Linked DNA regions of Saccharomyces cerevisiae S288C. Changing the gene in region 3 together with the main gene of any one other region gives a genetic interaction. Each region holds a gene or a part of one and is shown on either strand. Other genes may lie near its edges.

The links.
Region 1: of ISN1 (region 3) and POF1, changing one suppresses a phenotype caused by changing the other (phenotypic suppression), as found in Saccharomyces cerevisiae (one study listed by BioGRID).
Region 2: of ISN1 (region 3) and PHM8, changing one enhances a phenotype caused by changing the other (phenotypic enhancement), as found in Saccharomyces cerevisiae (2 studies listed by BioGRID).

The regions. Positions count from the first base shown.
Region 1 is NC_001135.5:43,161-46,330, forward strand, and holds POF1 (nicotinamide-nucleotide adenylyltransferase), read right to left. Parts: upstream 1,278-3,170; coding exon 501-1,277; downstream 1-500. Other genes in the region: SPS22 (Sps22p), read left to right, coding at 1-396; EMC1 (Emc1p), read right to left, coding at 1,463-3,170.
Region 2 is NC_001137.3:224,118-227,354, forward strand, and holds PHM8 (bifunctional nucleotidase/lysophosphatidic acid phosphatase), read left to right. Parts: upstream 1-1,771; coding exon 1,772-2,737; downstream 2,738-3,237. Other genes in the region: ATP-binding cassette family ATPase ARB1, read right to left, coding at 1-1,082; Smc5-Smc6 complex subunit KRE29, read right to left, coding at 2,741-3,237. UniProt on the Saccharomyces cerevisiae protein: May be involved in phosphate metabolism.
Region 3 is NC_001147.6:621,648-629,884, reverse strand, and holds ISN1 (IMP 5'-nucleotidase), read left to right. Parts: upstream 1-1,904; coding exon 1,905-3,257; downstream 3,258-8,237. Other genes in the region: SUMO ligase NFI1, read left to right, coding at 1-1,525; SLP1 (Slp1p), read right to left, coding at 3,393-5,156; ATP-binding cassette multidrug transporter PDR5, read right to left, coding at 5,510-8,237. UniProt on the Saccharomyces cerevisiae protein: IMP-specific 5'-nucleotidase involved in IMP (inosine 5'-phosphate) degradation.

The sequences.
Region 1 (3,170 bases), on a different chromosome or scaffold from region 3:
ATTACTTTCCTGCCAAACTTGAAGCAGATTGGAGGTGCTATTTTCTTTGAAGGTTCGTTCAAAGATATCATGTTCGATAGCTTGAAACTGGTGAAAGGTAGCGCTTTTATTAAGAGTTCATCAAACGTGTTGGATTGCAATAAATGGACAAACCCATCAAATGGAAGATCAATCATCAGGGGTGGGAAATTCACTTGTATTTCTGGTAAGAAGGAAAATACGCTGAATGTTAAACAGGATGGTACAATCATAGAAAAAGGGTACAAAGATTTAACGCAAGAAGGTGAAGACTCCAAGAAAAGAGTGATTTCAAAATACGCGAACTCAGCAAATCCAAGCATGCAATTGGACCCCCTTCTTTTTGGTACATGCCTTGTTGCTATGTTATTGTTTTAAGATTACTAGTCTAGTATAACAGAAAGTTTTTTTTGTTCCTAATATTATCTTTATCTATATACATATATCTCCATGAAAGGCATTTGAATTTCTATCTTTCTCTTTCAATCAAATATTGTCTTATTATTGATCAAATAATCGTATATGCACAATGGCAACTCGTCTTTCAAACTCTCCACTTGCCCATTCTTCAGTTTGTTCCTAATCTCGGATGATGAAACATTTCTTAATGCTGGATAATCATTTTGCATAACATGAATCCTAGCGCCCCATTCTCTTGGTATTACCGGTTCGAATTTTCCCTCAAGGATGTCACTGGCGTATCTTAGTTGCGATTCAGCACTGAGATGGCAATCGCCTCTCGCCAAGCAATATAATTGAGATCCCGACATGAAGCTCTCCATTACATCACTGATTTTTAAAGGATGATAATATTTTTCATCAAAGATCCTAGCAATTGTATCAAAACCAACTAAGTAGCCTATATCTGCACTGCATCCTTTAACAAATTGCTCATGTAATATTTTGTCCTTGTCGATGAATTTCGAGAAAACAGTCAACCCGACAGATACTACAGATTGGGGGAGCTTCTCCTGAAGGTAGTCAGCGAATAAGCACATCATTTCCAGACGAGTTGGAAAAGATGCCGGCTTAGGCAACTTATCTGCATTATTCACCGCTAACAGTAATAAAACATGCGAACGGGTGTCCTTCAATTTGAAGTTTTTAATAGTCTGCGATAGTAGTTGAAAATGGGCCAGATGTGGTGGATTGAATGAAGAATCAAGGACAAATAACTTCTGACATTCTAGATGCTGGGGTCCTTTGAGAACCTGAAATAGTAAATTGCTTTTTCGAAACTGCTCGAACGTCTTCTTCATATTAGTCTGCTAGTGCACGTACTGCTATCAACCGTCATTGATTAAGTGTCCATTTTCCAAAGAAGTAGGAGATTATATAACCACGAGTATGACGTCTTCCAGGGAAAAAAAAAAAAAAAAAAAAGAAAGCCAAAATAAGGAGCCTTGAAATGTGTATCTGATATATATAATGTGTATGTAAATATCTATTTAATTAGCCATTGGGATTTCAACTTCTTGTTTGAAACAGAAGGACGGATAAAATACGTGATCACCAACAAGACGAATATAGTAATAAGCAATTTACCCTTTTCGAAAGTAGGACTCATTAAATCAAATTGGCCCGAAGGTGTGATCCTTGTACAAAATACATCAAGGCCTAGATCACATATAATGCTTGTGGATTCCAGATTGGTTGGGATGGAGATCAACTGCGAATCGGATCCTGGCAATAGATTTCTGAAATGAGTGATAATGAAATTATCATTAATTGGGATAACTGGCGTGTATGGGGTAGCCATAAACTCTTTTTTCTTATCCTTGGCCATTTCTTCTGCTGGTTTACCTCTTGCATTCAATAAAAGCTTTGGTATGTAGGTGATTTGTCCATTTTCTAATTCCATAACGATTGCCTTTGTGGTAATATCATCCGTTGTCTTGGAAATGGACATTGTTTTGATAATCTCGGGAAAAATGAATTGTTTAGTTTGAAATTGAGGTTTGTTAATGTGTCCAGTCAATGGATCATAAGAAAAATTGTCGCTTGAGTTAGACAAACGCTCATCTGGGGTTAGTGACTCATATAATTCCACCACTACTAACTTTTGTTCTGGAACAGGTTCAGAACTGAAATAGGAATAAACGACCCAATATTCACCGAAAACAATATCCATTGGAAACCTAAAATCCGGAGAATCCTTGTGCTCTTGGGTAATGAGGATTTCTCCTGTAATGGTATCAATTAAGTTAAAAGTGATTGTATGATGTTCTTCATTAGCGATCAGATAAGCCGCTAGGTTGGGGTACAAATATTTATAAAGAACCGATTTGTCACCTAGTGTAATACCAAGAGTGTTTAGGTTTGTTGTTTCCCTCTTGCTATATGCCACCATTTTCTCTTTCGAATTTACGGCTTTTTTCCAAGTTTGTTTTACCGTATCGTTTTCGATTATGTAGCCATAAATGCCATTCGTGTCATGCTCTGTGACGAATATGTGGGAACTAGAATGGTTGTTGGCAACTATTGGTACATCCGTATTCTTGCCGGGATTCAATTTGAACAGTAAATGATCCTTATCCTCAAACTTAATCAGATACTGGTGATCATGTTCATTCAGCCTAATAACGGAATCAACAGTTTTCCTTTCAGATAGGGGGGATCTTGATTTGATAATCGGTTGATCTTTAGTAACTTCAATTGTCAAATAATGCCCATCATGCGAAAAAACAACAAGTTCGTCATGGTTTTTATCCGTCCAGAACATTTTGACGCCCTGATCAATTTCTAAATCGAGTTTCCAGATAAGTTGGCCCTTATTGACCATATCAAGGCCGCCGATAAAGCCATCATGCGTCAAAACAATTAAGATTTTGGCGAATCCGAACTTCAAATCTGATACCGTGGTATCCTTAGCGTCTAGAGCTAGGAGTTTAGTGAAGACACGTCCTGGTGAGAATTGGTTTTCTTTCAATAAGTTGATAAGGCGATTCCAATTAGTTGTCAATCTAAGCCAGTAAGCATTCCAAAGCGAATTTGAATCAAGTTCCGCTTTCATATCTTTGTTCAACTCCACATCCCTAGAATCGAAGACGTCCAATACAGCATAGTCTACCACGTTAGTCAACCATTCATCTCTTTGCCAAACGGGGATCAATTCTGTGCCATTGGCAGAGAATCCCATATATTGGGTATCA
Region 2 (3,237 bases), on a different chromosome or scaffold from region 3:
TCCAAAATTTTTTGTCTAGATTTAGCTTGTTTCACCAAGTTAGCATAAGTACCAGCAGATGCAATGAATTTTTTAATATGTTGGATTTCCTCTTGTTGTTTATTGTATTGTTTCATTTGATTGGTTTCCAATTCGGATCTTGTCTTGTGATAAGAATCATAGTTACCACCGTAAGCAGTTAGTTTTTGAGCTCTCATGTCAATCATATTGGTACAAACACCGTTCAAGAAATCTTGAGAGTGGGACACCAAAACTAAAGTTCTGTCAAATCTCTTCAAATATTCTTCTAACCAAACACAAGCTTCCAAATCCAGATGCGCAGTAGGATCATCCAACAATAATAGAGTTGGCTTAACGAAAAGAGCTTTTGCCAACGCAACACGCATTTTCCATCCACCAGACATATCTTTGGTTTTCTTCAAAATGGTCTTCTTGTTGAAACCTAGACCGATCAAAATGATAGCAGCTCTAGATTCAAAGGTGTCTGGATCCAAAGAGTCCATTCTTTCATATAGAGGCTCTAATAACTCGGACTCAGGACCATCTTCCAAGATAGTCTTTTCGACTAAGTCTTCTATTCTTTTCAATTCGTGTTGAGCTTCAGTGACAACGTAGTCCAAGGCCGACAATTCACTTGGTTCCGCAGGTTCGTCCAATAAATAAATATCAATATGCTCAGGAATAGGATATTCTCTAGTAGCAAGAGCCTTTAAGAATGTTGACTTACCACAACCATTTTCTCCCAGAAGACCATATCTACGGCCGTAGTTTAATTCTAAACCAGAATCTTGGATCAAAACTTTACCGTGGAACAGTAAAGAAACAGAAGATAGCTTGATATCACGGGAAGTCTCCAATGAACTCAAAACACCAGTGACAACACGATCTGAAAGACCATCCTTATCTTGTTGCAACTTCATCATCTTGATTTCTCTAGCGGCTGCATCTACCTCCGATTCTTCAGCAGCAGCCTCCTTTTTTCTACCTAGCTTTCTGATGGTTTTACCGGCAGCGGCTTTCTTAGCCTCTCTTTCAGCTTTCTTAGCATCTCTCTTGGCCTTTGACGCAGATACTGGTGGCATATTTGGTTCTGTCAAGTTACTGTTTGTAGCACTGAGGGGAAGAAAACAATTTTTGCAAGAAAAAAGTTAAGAAAGAAGAAGAAAAACTACACGGGCACTAACATGTTAAATATGATAATATTTTTTTTTATAAGAGAATCACTACCAAGTTACCTGAACTACGTCAAGGAAAAGCCATTAATTGAGATGAGGTGAACGAAGAAAAAAAAAAAGAAAAAAATTTTTATTTTTTTTTCCATCGGTCTCCCCCCTCACCTTTCTTTTTTCATTCGTTTAAAGTGAGATTAGGGTAATGCATTTCGTATTTAGTGAGTAAACGTCAAAGGTGATATAGGGGGTTTTTCTTTTTCCAGAAAAAGAAAGAAAAAAGCCGGCGGTCGCCGCCGGAGATGGTTGAGAAAAAAAGGGGGCAGCAACGTGCTTCACATACAAACCAAGTTCTTGGATCTGTACGATCGTTTCTGCGGGTTTTTCCGTATTTGCCGCAATACTGAAATGGCTCATTATTAGGAGATGTGCATATAATGTATATACATACATTTAGCATATGTAATACATTCGTACATGTATAGAAATATATGTTTATATATATATATATATATATATGTATATACGAACTCGGTTTAACGCATAGTTGGTAAAAGATTTAATGTAGATAAAAAACACATAAGTTTTATACGCACGTAATCATGACTATCGCTAAAGATTACAGAACAATTTATAGAAACCAAATCAAAAAGCAGATACGACTAAATCAGGAGCATTTGCAAAGCTTGACACATCTAGGCTCACAAATCAATTTCGAGGTGGATCCTCCCAAATTACCGGATCCGGATCCTGCTCGAAAAGTATTTTTCTTTGATATCGATAACACTTTGTACAGAAAATCTACGAAGGTACAATTGCTCATGCAACAATCATTATCAAATTTCTTTAAATACGAATTGGGGTTTGACGACGATGAGGCAGAACGCCTAATCGAATCGTATTATCAAGAATATGGATTATCCGTGAAAGGTTTAATAAAGAATAAACAAATTGATGACGTCCTACAATATAATACATTCATCGATGATTCCTTACCTTTGCAAGACTATTTAAAGCCTGATTGGAAGTTAAGGGAGCTGCTGATCAATTTAAAGAAAAAGAAGCTCGGCAAATTTGACAAACTATGGCTGTTTACAAACTCGTACAAAAATCATGCCATCAGATGTGTTAAAATATTAGGTATTGCTGATCTATTTGACGGCATAACCTATTGCCACTACGACAGACCCATCGAGGAAGAATTCATTTGCAAGCCAGATCCAAAATTCTTCGAAACAGCTAAATTGCAAAGTGGGTTGTCGAGCTTTGCAAATGCCTGGTTTATTGATGACAACGAAAGCAATGTGCGGAGCGCGTTGAGCATGGGGATGGGCCATGTTATCCATTTGATAGAGGATTACCAATATGAGTCAGAAAATATTGTTACTAAGGACCACAAAAATAAGCAACAATTTTCCATATTGAAAGATATCCTTGAGATTCCATTGATAATGGACGTTGAAGTTTACCGTCCATCCTCTATTGCCATAAAGGAAATGGAAGAGTTGGAAGAGGAAGGGGAAGCAGTCAACTGGTCAAATCAACAGATCAATGTTCAGTCATCATGACTGTTACCTGATTTTAGAAAACAAATTTAATATTCCCTTCAGGATAGAAATTTCAACATCATTTGTCGTTTCATTAGAAATATCCAAAATACAATCTTTGAAATATTCTGTTACTTGACATTTGGGACCAAAAGGAATAAATTTCGAGCCATACATCGTTAAAATAAAATATAGTAGATTTTTATAGTTTTTACAATCAAAAAATTCGTTAAACTCTTTGATTATATTTTGCTGTATAGTTTCAGTCCGACCTTGCTTTTCACTAAAGCGTCTCCTGAGCAAGGCGCTTTGTAAATGAGGGAAGATTTGTAGTAGCCTATAATGTAAAAAAAAGTCGTTCTTGTCCACAATTTCGAAATATGAATTTATGAAATGTGCCTCATTAAATAATTCCAGGACCTTAAAACACAGTCTATGGTCCGATTCCATAGCGTTAAAAACCTTTCTATCCAAGATTAAACATATGAAGGCTTTCAGAAAGAATTCTCTAACATCATCAT
Region 3 (8,237 bases):
CCATGAGGCAATAGATTTCCCGTATCCCTGTGAACTAGTGTTTAATGGCACCAAACTAGAGGACAACGTGAAAGGTTTAAAGAAACAAAATGGGACAGGTAATCCTGCAAATTTAACGCCTTATCTTAAAGTACCGACCGAGATGAATCACCTAGACTTACATTATCTCAATATTGATAAAGAGTACTCTATAAGTTGCTTTATAGTGGAAGTTTTTTCACCTGAAGCTCTTCTGGGGAAAATTCTGAAAAGGCCCAAAATTATCAAGCAAGCCACCACAGCATACATCAAAAGAACCTTGAATGAGCAAGATGATGACGATATTATTACAACCTCCACGGTGCTGAGTTTGCAATGTCCTATATCTTGTACAAGGATGAAGTATCCGGCGAAGACTGACCAATGTAAGCATATCCAATGTTTTGATGCTCTCTGGTTTCTTCACTCTCAGTCACAAGTCCCTACATGGCAGTGTCCGATTTGTCAACACCCTATAAAATTCGACCAGTTGAAGATTTCCGAATTTGTAGATAATATTATTCAAAATTGCAATGAAGATGTTGAGCAAGTTGAGATATCTGTTGATGGCTCATGGAAACCGATTCATAATAGTTCGGCCGTTATAACGGATACTGTTAACCAAAATCACAGTGTGAAAAACGAGAACCAAGGCACTGTCAAACAAGAGCAAGATTATGACAGCCGAAATGCCTTCGATACTAATTTGCGTAATGGTTCAAACCACAACGAACCCGAAATAATATCTCTGGATAGCTCAGATGATGAAGCCTTTATTCCGGCTAGTAAAAGCTTCCCAACGCACGTGAACCCCCGTAATGACCAATTAAGAGCAGATATATTTCCCTCAGAATCGGAAGGATCCAGTGACTACAACCCCAATCATACATCAACGCCGAAAGGTTCTCCAACTATGGACCAAGATAATTATCAAGATGCTTTTCAAATGAGGTCATTTTTGAACCAAGGCGCTACTACAAATATAAATGACACACCGACGAACAATAGCAGTATTAATTCTTTCGTTACGGCGACGAATGGTGACAGCAGAATATTCTACAATAGAGGGCCATCAACGCCACTATTACCGGCTGTTCTACAAAATTTGACTAATCAAACGGAAGCGCAGAGAAACCCCTACGGACCTAATTACAATACCACAGCTCAAGATCGTAATCTTTTGGGAATCGAAGGTGATTTGCCTCCAATCCCCCCTGTGGACCCAAATTCAGAAGCAGAAACTGAACTACCAACAAGGACCACATCGGCGGCACATCTCCCTCCATATATACACGTGAGCACCAGCGGCCATGGGGATGATGGAAAAATTAGGAAGAGAAGGCATTCTAATGTTTCTATCTACATTCCGAAGAATCCATACGCCACCCTTATGAAACGGAGACCACAGGCAAATCACGCCATAATGAATAAAACTCTGGCCCAAACTAATGACTTTAACACATCGGCTCAAGATAACTCGGAAGTGGTCGATTTAACATCAGATTGATTAACCGTCTTTTGATTTCTTTCCTTTCCGATTGTATTCTATTTTTATTTCTATTGTTTCATTTCGCTCTTAATATTGACTTCCACTTTTGGGCGTAAATGATGTTTTTGTTTTGATAAATATTACGACTTTTGTTATGTTTTTTTACTACTGTGGTTACTTCATGGGTGTAGTGTGCGAATCTGCAGTGATAGGTTTCTATAGATTTCTCTGTATACTTCCTGTATTACACTATAATATTTCATGTCCTTTCACTTCCCACGTTTAGCGGGACAGGCCGCCCTTAAATTAACAAAATTTAAAAGGTAAAGGAATGTACTAAGAAAAGAAAACTATTCAAAGAAAGTAACAAAAGATCGTGAGTTAACTTATAATAGCAATGTCCTCAAGATATAGAGTGGAATATCATTTGAAGAGCCACCGCAAGGATGAGTTTATAGATTGGGTAAAGGGGCTACTGGCCTCACCTTTTGTTCTACATGCCGTCTCTCATGAAGGTGACTACAATGACGACTTAGCAACAACTCAACGTGTAAGGTCGCAGTATGCTGATATCTTTAAAGACATTGAAGGGCTGATTAAAGATAAAATAGAATTTGACTCAAGAAACATGAGCCAAGACGAAATTGAAGATGGCGCCTCTTCTCAATCTCTGAATATATTAGGACAATCGCGTTTAAATCTTTTGGTTCCATCAATTGGAACATTCTTTACGGAACTTCCATTGGAACAAGCTTTTCTATGGGAAGACTCACAACGGGCCATTTCGGCGCGTAGAATGGTAGCACCCAGTTTTAATGATATCAGGCATATCCTGAATACTGCACAGATATTTCACTTTAAGAAACAGGAGAACTTACATAATGGTAAGGTTTTGAGATTAGTGACTTTTGATGGAGATGTGACGCTGTATGAAGATGGTGGCTCCCTGGTTTACACTAATCCTGTAATTCCTTATATTCTCAAGCTGTTGCGGTGCGGTATCAATGTGGGAATAGTCACTGCGGCCGGATATGATGAAGCTGGAACCTATGAGAACAGATTGAAAGGATTAATTGTTGCATTACATGATTCAACTGATATACCAGTTTCTCAAAAGCAGAATTTAACAATAATGGGTGGTGAGTCGAGTTACCTTTTCCGTTACTATGAAGACCCGGAGGAAGATAACTTTGGCTTTAGACAAATTGACAAAGAGGAATGGCTATTGCCTAGAATGAAGGCTTGGTCCCTCGAGGACGTGGAAAAGACTTTGGACTTTGCCGAGAGAACTCTTAACAGGTTAAGAAAAAGACTAAACCTACCTTCAGAGATTTCTATTATCCGTAAAGTCAGGGCAGTGGGTATCGTCCCAGGCGAACGGTACGATGAAGCTTCTAAAAGACAAGTTCCTGTTAAGCTTGATAGGGAACAACTGGAGGAAATAGTTTTAACCCTTCAAAACACTTTAGAGTCTTTTGCCCCATCTAGAAGAATTCAATTTAGTTGTTTTGATGGTGGTAGTGATGTCTGGTGTGATATTGGGGGGAAAGATCTTGGTGTTCGTTCATTGCAACAATTTTATAACCCTGAATCTCCTATCCAACCCTCTGAAACCTTACACGTAGGCGATCAGTTTGCACCGGTGGGATCAGCAAATGATTTTAAGGCAAGGCTAGCTGGATGTACCCTCTGGATAGCATCCCCTCAAGAAACAGTGAATTATCTTCATAGATTATTAGAAACTGATTAAAACAGTTTATGTAAAATGAAATTAGGACTATAAAAGTATATAGATATTTCCTATAGAAACACCTCATATATGGCGGTGGATTTTTTCATCTTGAATGAATTATGCTTAGAATTATGATTATGGGCCCTCTAGGATTCATCTGATTGCTTGTTGAACAATGTCTGCCTTTTCAATAGCGCCATTTTTGCTCTCTTCGAAATCTTCAAAGTAAAGCTCTCTCGTTATTAATAGATAGGATATCAACCCTACGAAGGCGAAAAATGACGCATAAACAATTCTTCTTTGAAAACTGACTTCTTTTTCCAATCTTTCCAAATGCAATAAATGACGGTTAGTAAATTTGTCATTCTCCAGTTTCTGTTCTTCTAATATACGTAAAGATTGATCTTTCAATTGATTGGCAAAGTTATTCAGCAGATCTAGATTACTCATCATTGTTTCGTTGAATATCGTGACAAGATGACTGAACTTTGCTTCGTGCGCCATTTCAAGTTGTTCAAACGATTTAGATAGCAGTTTGCTCTGTTCCTCAATGTAAGAAACTGTCAAACTAGAATTTGTCTCCAGTTGTGACAGCCTTTTCATGATGTTCTTAAAAATGGATTCTTCTGGAATTACAGGAACAGCCGAAGAAGAAGAAGAAGATATCATTTGCTTGGAAGGACAAAAGGATGCATTAAGCACCTTGAAAAATTCATCGAACTTCAAAGGGATGAGCTTTGAAGTACATGATAATGCACCAGCTAAGTCTGAGAGATTGCTTGTGTTTGGAGTCTCTAAACGCGTTTCTATATTGTTACATCTGTCTTGGATATTTTGTTCATTCAAATTGTTTATATTGTTAGTTCCTATGGATTGTTCTTTATCCTCTTGAGCCTTTAGTTGATCGATCTTAAACTCATCCATCATTGATTTACCATATACTTTGATTAAGGATATGGGACAATAAAATTCGTCCTCATAATGGGATAGAATTTCGATTTTCAAATAACTTGCCCAGATTTGGGGATTATGTATTTGAAACTTTTGTAGTTCTCTTGAATTTCTTGCCTCGAATTCTCCTAATATTGTCCATTCATTTTTAACCATCGGTATTCTATCAGAAACTGACACCCTAAATCTCTTGAAGGTCGAGGAAAAGAATTCGTAATTAGCAATTTCAATTTCCTCCACCAGGATATCTTCACAAAGCTCTATAACAATGAATTGCTGCGGAGCTGAACAGGGATTCAGTAAATACTTGTCTTTGCTCTCAATTAACGTAGAAGTCGCTCCAATCGCTTCTGGATTGCTTTTGACAATTGTTGCAGCGCAATCCAAGGATGCATAGTTGAATTTTTTTTTGTAAACTTTCTCTATGTCCTTTTCCTCATTGAATCCTTTTTGATTTTCTTCTCTTTCACTCCACTCGTTTTTGTTTGTCAAAAACCCCAAATCGATTTCCAACTCTTCTCCTATGCATTCTTTCTCTTTATAGCAAGAGGGATCGACTGGCTCCCTCACTCGACTAAGATGACGTTCAGGGCCTGATGAGTGCTCCTTCGACTTGACCTTCTTCCATTCGTCGAACGATAAAAATGAATTACTCGAATCGCCCGGATTCCTTGGTGTTGCAGGCTGTGTTAGTGCATCTTGCTCTTTCCTCTCACCGTTTTCCCGTATGTCAGCCTGCCGTATGTCAACTTTAGAGGCCTGTCTAAAATCATGGGTTCTTAAAGAACCGGTGGATAGTGGTGAGGAATGTTCTTTCTGCACGTTCGTTGTACTTCCAGTCGTGATCACAGTGGTATCATGTAGACCAATCTTCGCATTTTGAGCAGTTTTGTTCCTATCTAATGCAAAAGATCCGATTATACTTACCCACAAAATAAGGCCGTATATGAGAAGACGGTTCGCCATTCGGACAGATAATGATATAATATATCTTATATTTTAACTATATCCATTGCGTCCTTTCTTTTTAACCGTAAGGCACAGTTAAGAAATAATGTTTTCACACTAAATGCTGATGCCTATAAAAAAAAAGTACCGATGAGATAACCTAGGAATAAAATTCTCGGAATTCTTTCGGACATTGAACTTTGATTTATCAGAGCTGGTAAATTCAAGAAAATTGAAATGTAGAAAGCTCGCTGAATTAAGAAAAAAAAAATAAAAACTTATTATTACGCACCTATATGTAGTGATTATGTATGTTTATTAAAAAAGTCCATCTTGGTAAGTTTCTTTTCTTAACCAAATTCAAAATTCTATTATTTCTTGGAGAGTTTACCGTTCTTTTTAGGCACTCTTGCTAACCAGTAGAAAAAGACACCAGCGATATAATTGAATGCAATATAACAGATGAAGATACCATAATTTCTCCATCTCTCACTGTAGAAAGAATTGACATTAGCTAAGTAATCATTGGTTGTAGATATTTGACAGAAACTACAGGTGTCAGTGGCATTTTCATCAGTTAAGTAACCAGTCTTTGCTAGTTGTAAATATGGTTCCATGTACTGCCCACATGTCATACCGGATGGTGGTGTGAATTCTAGCAATTCGTAATCAGCGCATTTGACGTCTACGTTAGCAACACCAACAGCCAACAGAGCCTGAATGAAATAAGTCAAAGGTGAAACCCTGTACATGAATATCCAAAATCTAGGCATGGCACTTGGGGTAGTCATAACACCACAAAAAGACAAAGACATTGTAAACAACAAAGAGGCTAAGTTAGCTGCACTTTCTGCAACTTGGTTGAATGAAATGACAAGCAGACCCATAGAACCAACATAAACGTAGAAAGCACAAGAGAACAACCAAAATAAAGCACCCCTTTCATGCAACTGGCCAGCTGCAGACGCGTTGGAGTAAAATCCAATTGGATAATAGTAGATAAAATAAGCAATAGTACCTGCCAATATATTCCATGGAACTTCCACGAATATTTGAGCGAAGATAAATGAAATCCAAGAAAAAGTCCTTGAGGGGCGTTCCCTGGCCTCATACAAATCTCTTTGCTGGACAAAAGATGGTAGGTATTGTTGTAGAATAGGATTGAAAATAACCGTAAACATGAACACAGCCAACATTTGATTTTGTAAACCCTGTAGCGAGGTTCCTGCTTTGAAGAAAGTGAAACCGATGAACAATTGATTGAAAATAGTTAAAATAAACTTCGACCATAAATAATCTGGAGATCTCCAATATTGCTGGAATAGACGAATACTGACCAATTTTGTTTGATAAATAATTGATTGTGAAAATTCGTGTTTGTCCTCAGCTGCAGTTATCGAACCTTTCTTTGGTAATTCTCTTTCCATCCAATCTAATTCAGATTGAACGGCCCTGTACTCTTCAGAATTCCTCCAAACTTCGTAATAATCTTGATTTGCATGAGAGCCTGGAGCTGCACCAACAACTTCTAGCATCCATTCAGCTGGGTTGGCGTCAGCAGGGCATTTATGAGCACCATGGCTTTCAAAATAATCGATCATAGTTTTACAACCTTCGCCCAAGTCGCCAAAGTAGACAGTCTTACCACCACGTTGCATAAATAGTAAACGATCGAATTCTTGCATCAAAATAGCAGAGGGTTGGTGAATAGTACATAGAATTGCTTGACCATGATTTGCCAACTTTTTCATTAGCTGACAAATAGACCAAGCAGTTTGAGAATCCAAACCAGAAGTAGGTTCATCTAAAAAGACCAACAGTTTTGGTTTGGCAGTTAATTCAACACCAATGGTTAATCTTTTTCTTTGTTCAACGTTTAAACCTTCACCAGCAACACCAACAACAGCATCAGCATATTTTTCCATTTCAAGAATTTTAATAACTTCTTCAACATATCTGTTCTTTTCTTCAATGGAAACTTCAGCTGGTTGACGTAGGTAAGCAGAAAATCTCAATGACTCCCTCACAGTGGCAGTTTTCAAATGCAAATCTTGTTGCTGACAATAACCAATGGATCTTGGGAAAGATTTATCACGGGGAATACCATTGACCAAGATATCACCAGTTATAACACCCATGGTAACCCTTTCGGCCAAACAATCCAGAAGTGTGGTTTTACCAGCACCTGAAGCACCCATTAAAGCTGTTAAAGTACCTGGTTTAACCCAACCATCAACATTGTTCAAAATACGTCTTGTTTCGGCCTTAATCTGAACTTCGTAACAAAGGTTTCTCCAGTGAAATATAGCCTCTGACTTGGATAAACCAATTTCTCCGTAAGTATCGGATTCCTCTTCAGAGCTTTCTTGTAGCATTTTCCTATCGCTGGATAAGTCACTACGTTCCCCAACGTTTTCGGGGTCATTTGCATTCTTTTCAGTTAGTACACCTCTTTTCTTCATTCTTTTAACTATACTGCGTGGGAAAACTAATATTTCACCTTTTTGTTTAGCACCCTCGTTGTATTCACATAAGAATAGATAGACAAAGAAAAAGAAGACGACATAAGCCATACCAATACCGAAACCACGCCATTTGTCTTTGTGGTAGTATTGATAAGTTCCTCTAATGAAATCATCACCCAGAACATAGTCTTGGCCTGGAACAGCTCCAACCACGGTACAAACAGATTCTGTACTAGAAATGTTTGCATACGCAGGACCACGAGGAACATATTCAGCGCAGGGGAATTTTATACCATGAAACTCGTTAATTAACAAAGATTCGAATAAGTAAGCCAACGGATTGATATACCAAATCCATTTAGACCAACGTAGGATCTTCTTCTTAGGAATAGCAAAACCGGTATACATGGATAGAGCCAACAATAACATAGAAGCGGGAACCATAGCTTCTGACAATGTCTTTGTTAAGGAACCAACACATCTAAACAAGTGAGACATGGAGAAAACCGCGACAATGTTTATTAATAAGTAGAAAAAGAATACACCACCATTTCTTCTAAAGTCTACTAAGAAATAGAAGATTATATTGAAGCAAACAGCGATGATTAACTTTGAGGGTATTTCTGATAGAACT